Linked DNA regions of Coturnix japonica. The protein of the gene in region 1 binds, or shares a complex with, the protein of each later gene. Links are inferred from orthologs where the notes say so. Each region holds a gene or a part of one and is shown on either strand. Other genes may lie near its edges. The genes, in order: TLN1 and APBB1IP.

The links.
Region 2: the proteins of TLN1 (region 1) and APBB1IP are in contact, whole or in part, in a crystal structure (PDB 4W8P), measured with the Mus musculus proteins. The link is inferred for Coturnix japonica from reciprocal best matches to the Homo sapiens genes TLN1 and APBB1IP. Residues at the interface, in NP_035732.2 of Mus musculus: Leu1492, Ala1495, Thr1496, Val1498, Ala1499, Thr1502, Ser1503, Cys1506, Asn1507, Arg1510, Val1526, Ala1529, Lys1530, Ala1533, Asn1534, Thr1536, Ala1537, Val1540, Ile1543, Lys1544, Asp1547; in NP_062329.2 of Mus musculus: Asn5, Ile8, Asp9, Met11, Phe12, Thr14, Leu15, Glu18, Met19, Leu21, Leu22, Ser25.

Annotation. Positions count from the first base shown.
Region 1 is NC_029547.1:8,425,879-8,430,442, forward strand, and holds the start of TLN1 (talin-1), read left to right. Parts: upstream 1-1,555; 5' UTR 1,556-1,682; intron 1,683-4,564. Other genes in the region: CREB3 (cyclic AMP-responsive element-binding protein 3), read right to left, coding at 8-142. UniProt on the Homo sapiens protein: High molecular weight cytoskeletal protein concentrated at regions of cell-matrix and cell-cell contacts. Involved in connections of major cytoskeletal structures to the plasma membrane.
Region 2 is NC_029517.1:14,640,476-14,644,283, reverse strand, and holds part of APBB1IP (amyloid beta A4 precursor protein-binding family B member 1-interacting protein), read left to right. Parts: intron 1-547; coding exon 548-635; intron 636-2,021; coding exon 2,022-2,311; intron 2,312-3,808. UniProt on the Homo sapiens protein: Appears to function in the signal transduction from Ras activation to actin cytoskeletal remodeling. Suppresses insulin-induced promoter activities through AP1 and SRE. Mediates Rap1-induced adhesion.

The DNA.
Region 1 (4,564 bases):
GACCCACCTCCAGCTCCGACATCATCCAGTCCCCCAGCAGCGAGCCGTCCCCCGCGGGGCTCTCCGCCGGCGCCTCATCGTTCAGCAGGAAATCGAGCAGATCCCCATCCGGCAGCGAGGCCGGAGGTTCGGGGGCTGCCATCGGAACCGGGAAGCGCCCAGACACAGCACGAAGGAGCCGCGGAGCCAAAGGGGGAACGGGGAGGCCAGGCCTGGGCGGCGGCGGGAGGAGGGGGGCGGGCCGGGCCTGTGGGCCCGAGCGGGGCGAGGAGACACAACGAGCGGGCGGGGGCCGCTCCGAGCAGCACCGGGACGGAGCAGGAGCACCGGGACAGCGGAGGGAACAGGCCGGAGCAGGAAGGAAGGACAGGCCGGAGCAGGAACAGGCCGCGGTGCCGCCCCGCTCAGCACACGGCCCGACCGCAGCGCCGCGCCCTGCGATGCGATGACGTGACCGCAGACCGGCAGCACCCGCGACACGTCCCGCCCCCACGCGGCGTAACGGGGAGAGGGAGGGGGGAGCGGGGAGCGAGCAAGGCACGGCCCGGTACGGCCAATACAGCCCAATACAGCCCAATACAGCCCAATACAGCCCAATACAGCCCAATACGGCCAATACGGCCCAGTACAGCCCAGTACGGCCCATTACAGCCCAGTACGGCCCAGTACGGCCAATGCGGCCCAGTATGGCCCAGTACAGCCCAGTACAGCCCAGTATAGCCCAGTACGGCCCAGTACAGACCAGTACAGCCCAGCACGGCCCAGTAAAGCCCATTACAGCTCAGTACGGCCCATTACAGCCCATTACGGCCCAGTACAGCCCAGTACAGCCCAGTACGGCCCACTACAGCCCACTACAGCCCAGCTAGAGCCCAGTATGGCCCATTACAGCCCATTACAGCCCAGCTAGAGCCCAGTACGGCCCATTACAGCCCAGTACAGCCCATTACGGCCCAGTACAGCCCATTACAGCCCAGTACGGCCCAGTACAGCCCAGTATAGCCCAGCACAGCCCAGTACAGCCCAGCACGGCCCAGTACAGCCCAGCACGGCCCAGTACAGCCCATTACAGACCAGTACAGCCCAGCACAGCCCAGCACAGCCCATTACAGCCCACTACAGCCCAGTATGGCCCATTACAGCCCAGTACAGCCCATTACAGCACAGTACGGCCCAGTACAGCCCATTACAGCCCAGTACAGCACAGCACAGCCCAGTACAGCCCATTACAGCCCAGTACAGCCCATTACAGCCCACTACAGCCCAGCACAGCCCATTACAGCCCACTACAGCCCATTACAGCCCACTACAGCCCATTACAGACCACTACAGCCCAGTACAGCCCAGCTAGAGCCCAGTACGGCCCATTACAGCCCAGTACGGCCCATTACAGCCCGGTACAGCCCATTACGGCCCAGTACAGCCCAGTACGGCCCATTACAGCCCAGTACGGCCCATTACAGCCCAGTACAGCCCATTACAACCTAGTACGGCCCATTACAGCCCTTTACGGCCCAGTACGGCCCATTATAGCGCAGCCCGTGGGCCGTGCCGTTCCGCGCCGCTCCGCTCCGCTCCCCCCGACGCATGCGCTGCGTGTTGCGGCGGGCGGTGCTGGGGCGGTGCCGGCGCTGTGCCGCTCAGCCTCGGCGGGCCCCAGCGCGCTGCTCGGCCGCGCTCAGGTACGGAACCGGCACCGGCACCGGCACCGGGACGGGCGGCCACGCACCGACACCGCGGGGCTGCGGCTGGGCGGGGAGCGGGGGGGAGGGGAGAGCGGTCGGAGCGGCGGCATCGCGGCGGCACGAGGCGCGGGGTGGGGGCTGCTGCCAACGCGGGGAACGTTGGGGTGCGCGGGGGGAGCGCTGCGTGATAAGACCCCGCGTGCGGCGGAGCGCAGCGGGACCGGGCGCGCCCCACCCCGGCTTGGCCGCCGCCCCTGGGCGCTCCGTGCGGGAGGAGCGCGGCCGCATCCTGTTTCCCGCACCCACGGCGCGACCGCGGCCCCGCGTGGGGAGCGAGGCGGTCCGACCCTGCGGCTGAACCCCCCGCCCGGCCCCGGAGCTCCGCGCCCCCGCCCGGCCCCGGGGCTGCATCTCTTCCAGACCCATATTTGGAAGCGATGCTGCGGGACGGGGACACCCCGCGCGGGCCGGCGGGCGTGGGTGCCGCTGCGCTGCGGGGCTGTATTGCAAGGCGGGTCGGGGCGTGGGACGGTCGGAGCATCCCCCGTTCCCGCCGTCGCTTTAGGATGCGGGTGGGGAAGGTGCGGTGCGGCTCCGTGCTGCAGGGAGCCGTCCCGGAGCCGTTCACCGGGCACCAAGTCGCCGTCCCCGCTGTCAGCCCGATGCCGCACGGCGCCCATCCCCGGCGGGCACGAACCGGCCGCGGCCGCCGGAGAGGAGGAAGCGGCGTGAATCAGCCGAGCTGCGTGGGGCTGAGTCACCGAGCTGCCCGCCCGGGATCCGCGGTGCTGCGGGACCGGCGCTGTTGCCTCTGGGTTAAAACATTAACTTCTGCCATTCGGTGGAGGAGGGGAAAGGCGTCGGAGCGTGAGACCGAACCGCGCTGAGCTCTCTGAAATGATTAAAAGGAAAAGCAAAAAAAACCCAAAAAAAAACAACCAGCAACACACACACACACAAGAAAGCGCAGAACAAAGCAGTTACAGTCCTTAAAGTGCTGTGCTGTGCCGAGGTGCGGGGTGCTCCCCGCAGGAGCGGAAGGGCTGTGGGAACTTCCTTTGGTGCGGTCACACTGCCGACCCTTTCCCCGAGCTCAGGGCAGTGAATTCGGTTCCTTCGGGAAAGCTCTGCGGCCGCTGGATGTGTGCCACGGGCGTGCAGTGGGGCTGCCTTGCAGGCACAGCCCATGCGGTAGAACCTGGTCGGGCTCTGCTTTGTTTTCTTTCTTTTCTCTTTTTTTTTTTTTTTTTTTTGCTAACATAAAACTTTCTCTGTACCCGTGCTTGCAGCAGCGCTGCTGTGAAGCCGGGAGGTATAAATACAGCGGCGACGTCATGGGGTGGAAAATCGCTCTGTGCCTCGGGGATGGCGGCGGAGGCGTCGTGGGGAAGGGAAGAGAAATGCAGAAGTGCCCGCAGCCGCTGCTGCTGTGCTGGCTTATCTGCCTCGCCTACCAGCGAGCGCTGCTGACTTGTTTGCTCTCCCTGGAGGGCGGCCAGTGCTGAAAATTGGTGTGCATTCATCACATCGTTTGGCTTTTCGTTGTTTTTTTTCACCTCCTAGTGGAGCAGCCTGGGGCTGGGAGTCCTCTTCTTGTACTTTGTCTGGTCTGTGCCCTCAGGGCACCATGACGGTGTGGCCCTTGTGCCGGTGCTGTCATCAGCACAGAGCCCCACATCTGCTTCCTGCCGTGCTGGTGCCTCCGCAGAGCCCACAGAAGGGCTCTCGCTGCCCTCTGATGCCCAAATGCACCCAACCCCTGCGGTGGACCCGTGTTCTGTCCCCATGCATACCCCCAGTGTGGAAATCTACCCAGCTCTTCCCCGTGCATCCCATCCCGTGTGAGGCAGCAGTCAGCCAGACCTTCCCCACCGCCACGTTGTTACAGGGCTGCTCTAAATAGACTACTTCTGCTTTACACACTGGTGGAGGGTAGTGCTCAAAGCACTTCCTTAGAACGTGGAAAGAGCAACGAGCCTCTGGTTTTTACGTGTCTTAAGTGCCTTGCACAGCGCTATTTGGGGGCACAGCACCATTTGGGGTGCAGGATGGTGGCCACGTGTGGCTGCTGCCGGCCCCGCAGAGCTGGAGCTGCCCGTGTCGCTCTGCAGTTTCCCCTCCAGCACATCCTGCAGCTCTGGGCCGATTTTGCAGCAATTCACGAGTGAGGCCGAGCCGCTCTGCTGGCCGGGTGCGGCATCCCGTTTTCTTTGCAGTGCTGTCCTGCTTTGGGACAGTTTCAATCACTTTGCTTGCCTCTGCTCTCCTCTTCCTCCCCGCTCCCTGACCCTGCCCTGCAGGCAGAAGCGGGGGGAGGGATGGAAAGGGCTCAGCGCTCCGTTCCGGGGTATTTTTAGATTTAGGAAAGAGAACGATCCCAGTCCCGCCGGCCGCAGCCGCCCCGCCCGTCGGTCCCCTCGGATCCCCGACGGCCTCTTACGGCTCCTGGCCGTGAAGCTGCGGGGCGGCTGCGTGCGGGGCCGTCCCGCTCGCGTTGCATTCCTCGTCGGCGGGGGCCGAGGGCCTCCGACGGGGCTCCTGCGCTGCATTGCCGAACGGCTCAGGAATGCGCAGCTGGAGCGGCTCCACGCGCTGGTGGAGGCGGCACCGCGCTCCTCCCGAGCAGAGCCCTGTGGCCGCCGGGATCTTGTGGGGAGGAAGCTCCAGAGCCCCCTGGAGCAGACTGCAGCAAGCTCGGTGATACCCCAGCCCCTGTCTCCTCGAGCAGCACAGTGTGCGCTTCCTGGGGTCCCCACAGGGCTCCCTGCAGGATCCCGATAGTGGGGTCAGACCCTGCACCACGTGAGGTTTTCTTCTTGTGGTTTCTTTGCCACAGTTTTAATTAAAGCCCCTTCCGTCGCACAGTGCTGCCTTATCTC
Region 2 (3,808 bases), on another chromosome or scaffold:
CTGGAGCAAGTGGCACTTCATATCTCAAATCTTTGTACATACGCAGCTAAATTATTTCACACACCTCCAACTCACTTCCCGGAAAACTCAAAAAGCCTTTCAAAATGAGTCTGGCTTTTCAGTGTCCCTGTTGGAGGCTGAGAGAGTTGGGGTTGTTTGATTTAAAGAAGGCTTCAGAGAGACCTTGTAGTGGCCTTCCAGTACCTAAATTGGTACTCTTTATCAGGGAATGTAGTGTTTGGACAAGGGGTAATGGCTTTAAAATGGAAGATGTAAATTAGGAAGAAATTCTTTACTATGAAGTTACTGAAGCGCTGGAACAGGCTACCTAGAGGAGTTGCGGATGCCCCATTCCTAGAGATGGTTGAGGCCAGGCTGGATGGGGCCTTGGGAAATCTGGTCTAGAGGAAGTTGTCCCTGCCTATGGCAGGGGATTAGAACAAAAAGAATTGACTTAAGCACTTTCCAGTAACTAATTGACAAATGCTAATGTCTGTAATACTAGTTATATCACTAAAATATCTTCCTTTTTCTTTTACCTTAACAGAGTTTAGGAGTGGAGACTGTACAAACTCCATCCCCCAAAGTGACCAACAAGGAATTCAGCTTCACTGTAGGTTTTAAGGATTTAAACGGTAAGGAGTTGAATTGACTCATTCATGGTTTTTCTACTTATTTTAAATACCTCACAGCAATGAATATGAAAAAAAGCTTCAAACACTTCTGATCTAAAATAAAGTTTAAAAATAGAACTATTTTGATGGAGTGGTGATATGTTTGTGTGTCTCAGTTTAGGAAACTCCAAAGGGACCAAGTGTTTTTAAAGGGACATTGCTTGGTCTGACATAAGAATCGGACTTTTTAGAATGTCAGAGTGTAGAGGGAAATCAAAAAAAGAAGGTCACTAAAATATTTCCAAATAGGCAACCTCTTTGTGAAAAGATTTAAGTTAATAGAAAACTGTGTTACCTCAGTGTGAAGTCAAAGCTGTGGAAGTATTTATTTCCAGTGGAAATACTGGCTTTAGTTTCTTCCATTTTACATTACTTATTCTCATTTTGGCTTGTACTGTCACTTCTGCATGTACAGCTGCTTGCTTCCCTGACATGAGTCAGGGAGTTGATCTGAGCTTAAAAAAGAATGTGCTCTTTCTTGTGATTTTTTTTTTCTTTTTTGCATTTTTCTGGGGGGCTGGTTGTTTGCATGTTTGCATATGAGCTGATTTTAACTAGTGTTATTGTGCCAGAATGAATTTACTACTAAGCTACATAATGGTAAAATGTCTCTACCAGCAAAGAGGTTAGAGGTATATAAATAGAGGATTGTAAGGCAGCTTTTCCACTGAAAAGAAACACTTATGAAAATGCACTGTCAGTGTAACAGGTAAAGCAGAGGAAACGGAAGTGGTCCAATAACAAATTCACTTTGTTTGATGAATGATCTATTCTTTGTTGGACTGTATTATCATACATATTGTGTAGTTCAGGGCTCTCCATCTCTTTCCAAAATTCCACTTAAAACATTTACAATTGGTCATTCTTTTCTTGAACTAGACTCTTCAAAGTGATTTAAACCACTGAATGCAGTGATTCTCATAGAACCCTTCTCTTCTAGAAAACTAAATTATCCTACAGGATGTTATTCCAAAGTATCTCTTTCAACATGTCTGGTTCAAACAATTTGAATTTCTTGCATCCATATCACTAAGCATGTGCCCATCAACCTTGTTGAATCAGGGCTAGATTTCATAAAACATACAGATCTGAGACCATAGCAATGAAAATGAAACTTCCTGTCCTGTTCAATTTGTATTCACGGAGTTCCTTCTATTCAAAACTTCAGTATGACTAGATTAATAGCCATTCCTAAAGCATGTTTGTTTTCTTGAACCCATTTAAAAGCCTTTCCCATAACCCTTGTATCTTACAGTAACCATGTCTCCTGTAATTTAATCTTCACTGAACTGGTAGCAGATTTTTTCATTGCGTTCACTCTTGATGTATTTTTTGTTTTCTTTACAGAATCTCTAAATGCCCTAGAGGACAAGGACCTTGATGCCTTAATGGCTGACCTTGTAGCAGACATAAATGAGGTTGAACAGAGAACTTTACAAGCCCAGAAAACTTCTGGCAACCAGAAAAGTGTGGTCACTCAGCCTTCAACAGACATGGATAATGACTTTTATAGTAAATTAAGTCCCTGTACTACAATTACAGAACAGTTTAAGAATGACTTGCCCCCTCCACCTCCAGCCCCTGATTTAGACCTTCCGCCACCACCACCACCACCTCCTCCCGAGCCACTCAGCCAGGTAAGTCGGAGAGGAATCTTGTTCCAAGAGTTCAGTAACTTGTAAATTTAGGATTGGATTTGCATTGGAACAAATGTGGGTATCCAGTAGAAGTCCATGTATAAGTATCTTAAGCAGACTCTACACTAACAAAACAGCTTCAAATTGTAGAGTAAGATTTTTCTTTTATTGTGAGTGTGGCAGTTTCTGCCAATTCCTGGACATGTTGCCCATTCCTTTTGCATTTCTAATTGCCATTCTGATAGTCCAAGACAGAACTTGATCACTGAAAATGGTTTACTATAATGAAAGATTTTTACTGATATATTTTTTTTCCTAAATAAGTGTTGTTGAGTTAGTAATGGAGAGCTTCACTTAGACATCTGTGCAACGGGTGGCCAAATATCCCATCTTTTTGTGAAGCTATCACTTTGTTTACTGCAGTAAACACTACTGCTACTGATGAGAAGGTTCTCTGGATGTTTCCCTTAGCAGTTGCTGAAATTATCAGTGGGTGCTACTTTTAGAAAATTGACTTACCAATATGCTAAAATTTCAGTTATCACAACTTCCTCCATGTTTGTTTTTCATGCAAATCTGTTCTAACAACTGAAGTCAAACATGGCATATGTAGTAGAAGTATTTGAAGTTGACATGAAATTGTGGATAAGGAGATAAGAATTTACCCTTTTAGTTCTGTGGGGAGACTGTGTGTGTTAGAAGAGTGATGCAGTCCCAAAAATATGAGTCTGAAATCCTGAAGAATTTTAAAGTGTCTCTTTGAGTATTCATGTGCAGATAAACCAGGGTGGAGAGGAGCTCTTTACACTTAGGGAATGGAAAGGTTTTAGGGAAAGTGAAAGGTACTCTGTCAGATGGTGTAGAACTATACCAGTCAGTTTTACCTAAAACTGTGAGCAATTCATTGCAGCTTAAATGCCTACACAAACTGAGTATGAATTACCTCATTATCACTGGTGCCTCTGCTTTTAGCCTAACACAGGAAAAAAAAAAAAAAAAAGCAAAAGAAACAGAAAATTTGTTAAGAAGAGGACATTGCTGAGGTATTTCACTGGATAAAGTTTCATTTTATGTATAAGACTTTTTAGTACTTGGTGTGAAGAATGAAAATTGTAAATGTGGGAAGATCTTCACCATTTCTCTATGTCTCAAAGATAATAGTTAACTTATCTTAAAAGAGAATCAGTATTTAAAAGAACAACAACTAGACTTGGTTCAGAAGCTGAAATCTATCATTTAACTAGTATTATTGATACAGAAGAGGTGCTGTCAAGACAAGCTCTGTCCATTGTATTACAAATACGTCCCCATCTTGGTTTAGACCTTTAAGGAAGTACCAGATAACGTGATCTAAAGCTCACTGAAATAACTGTGCTTTGCAGTTCCGTTCCTTCTGTCTTGTATTAAGCTTAGTTTTTACAGCCAGATCTCAGGTTGCTCTGCTGAAGCTTGTTCTCTGAATACTCTTATCCTGCATAGTGTGAGGGTCAAGCAAGG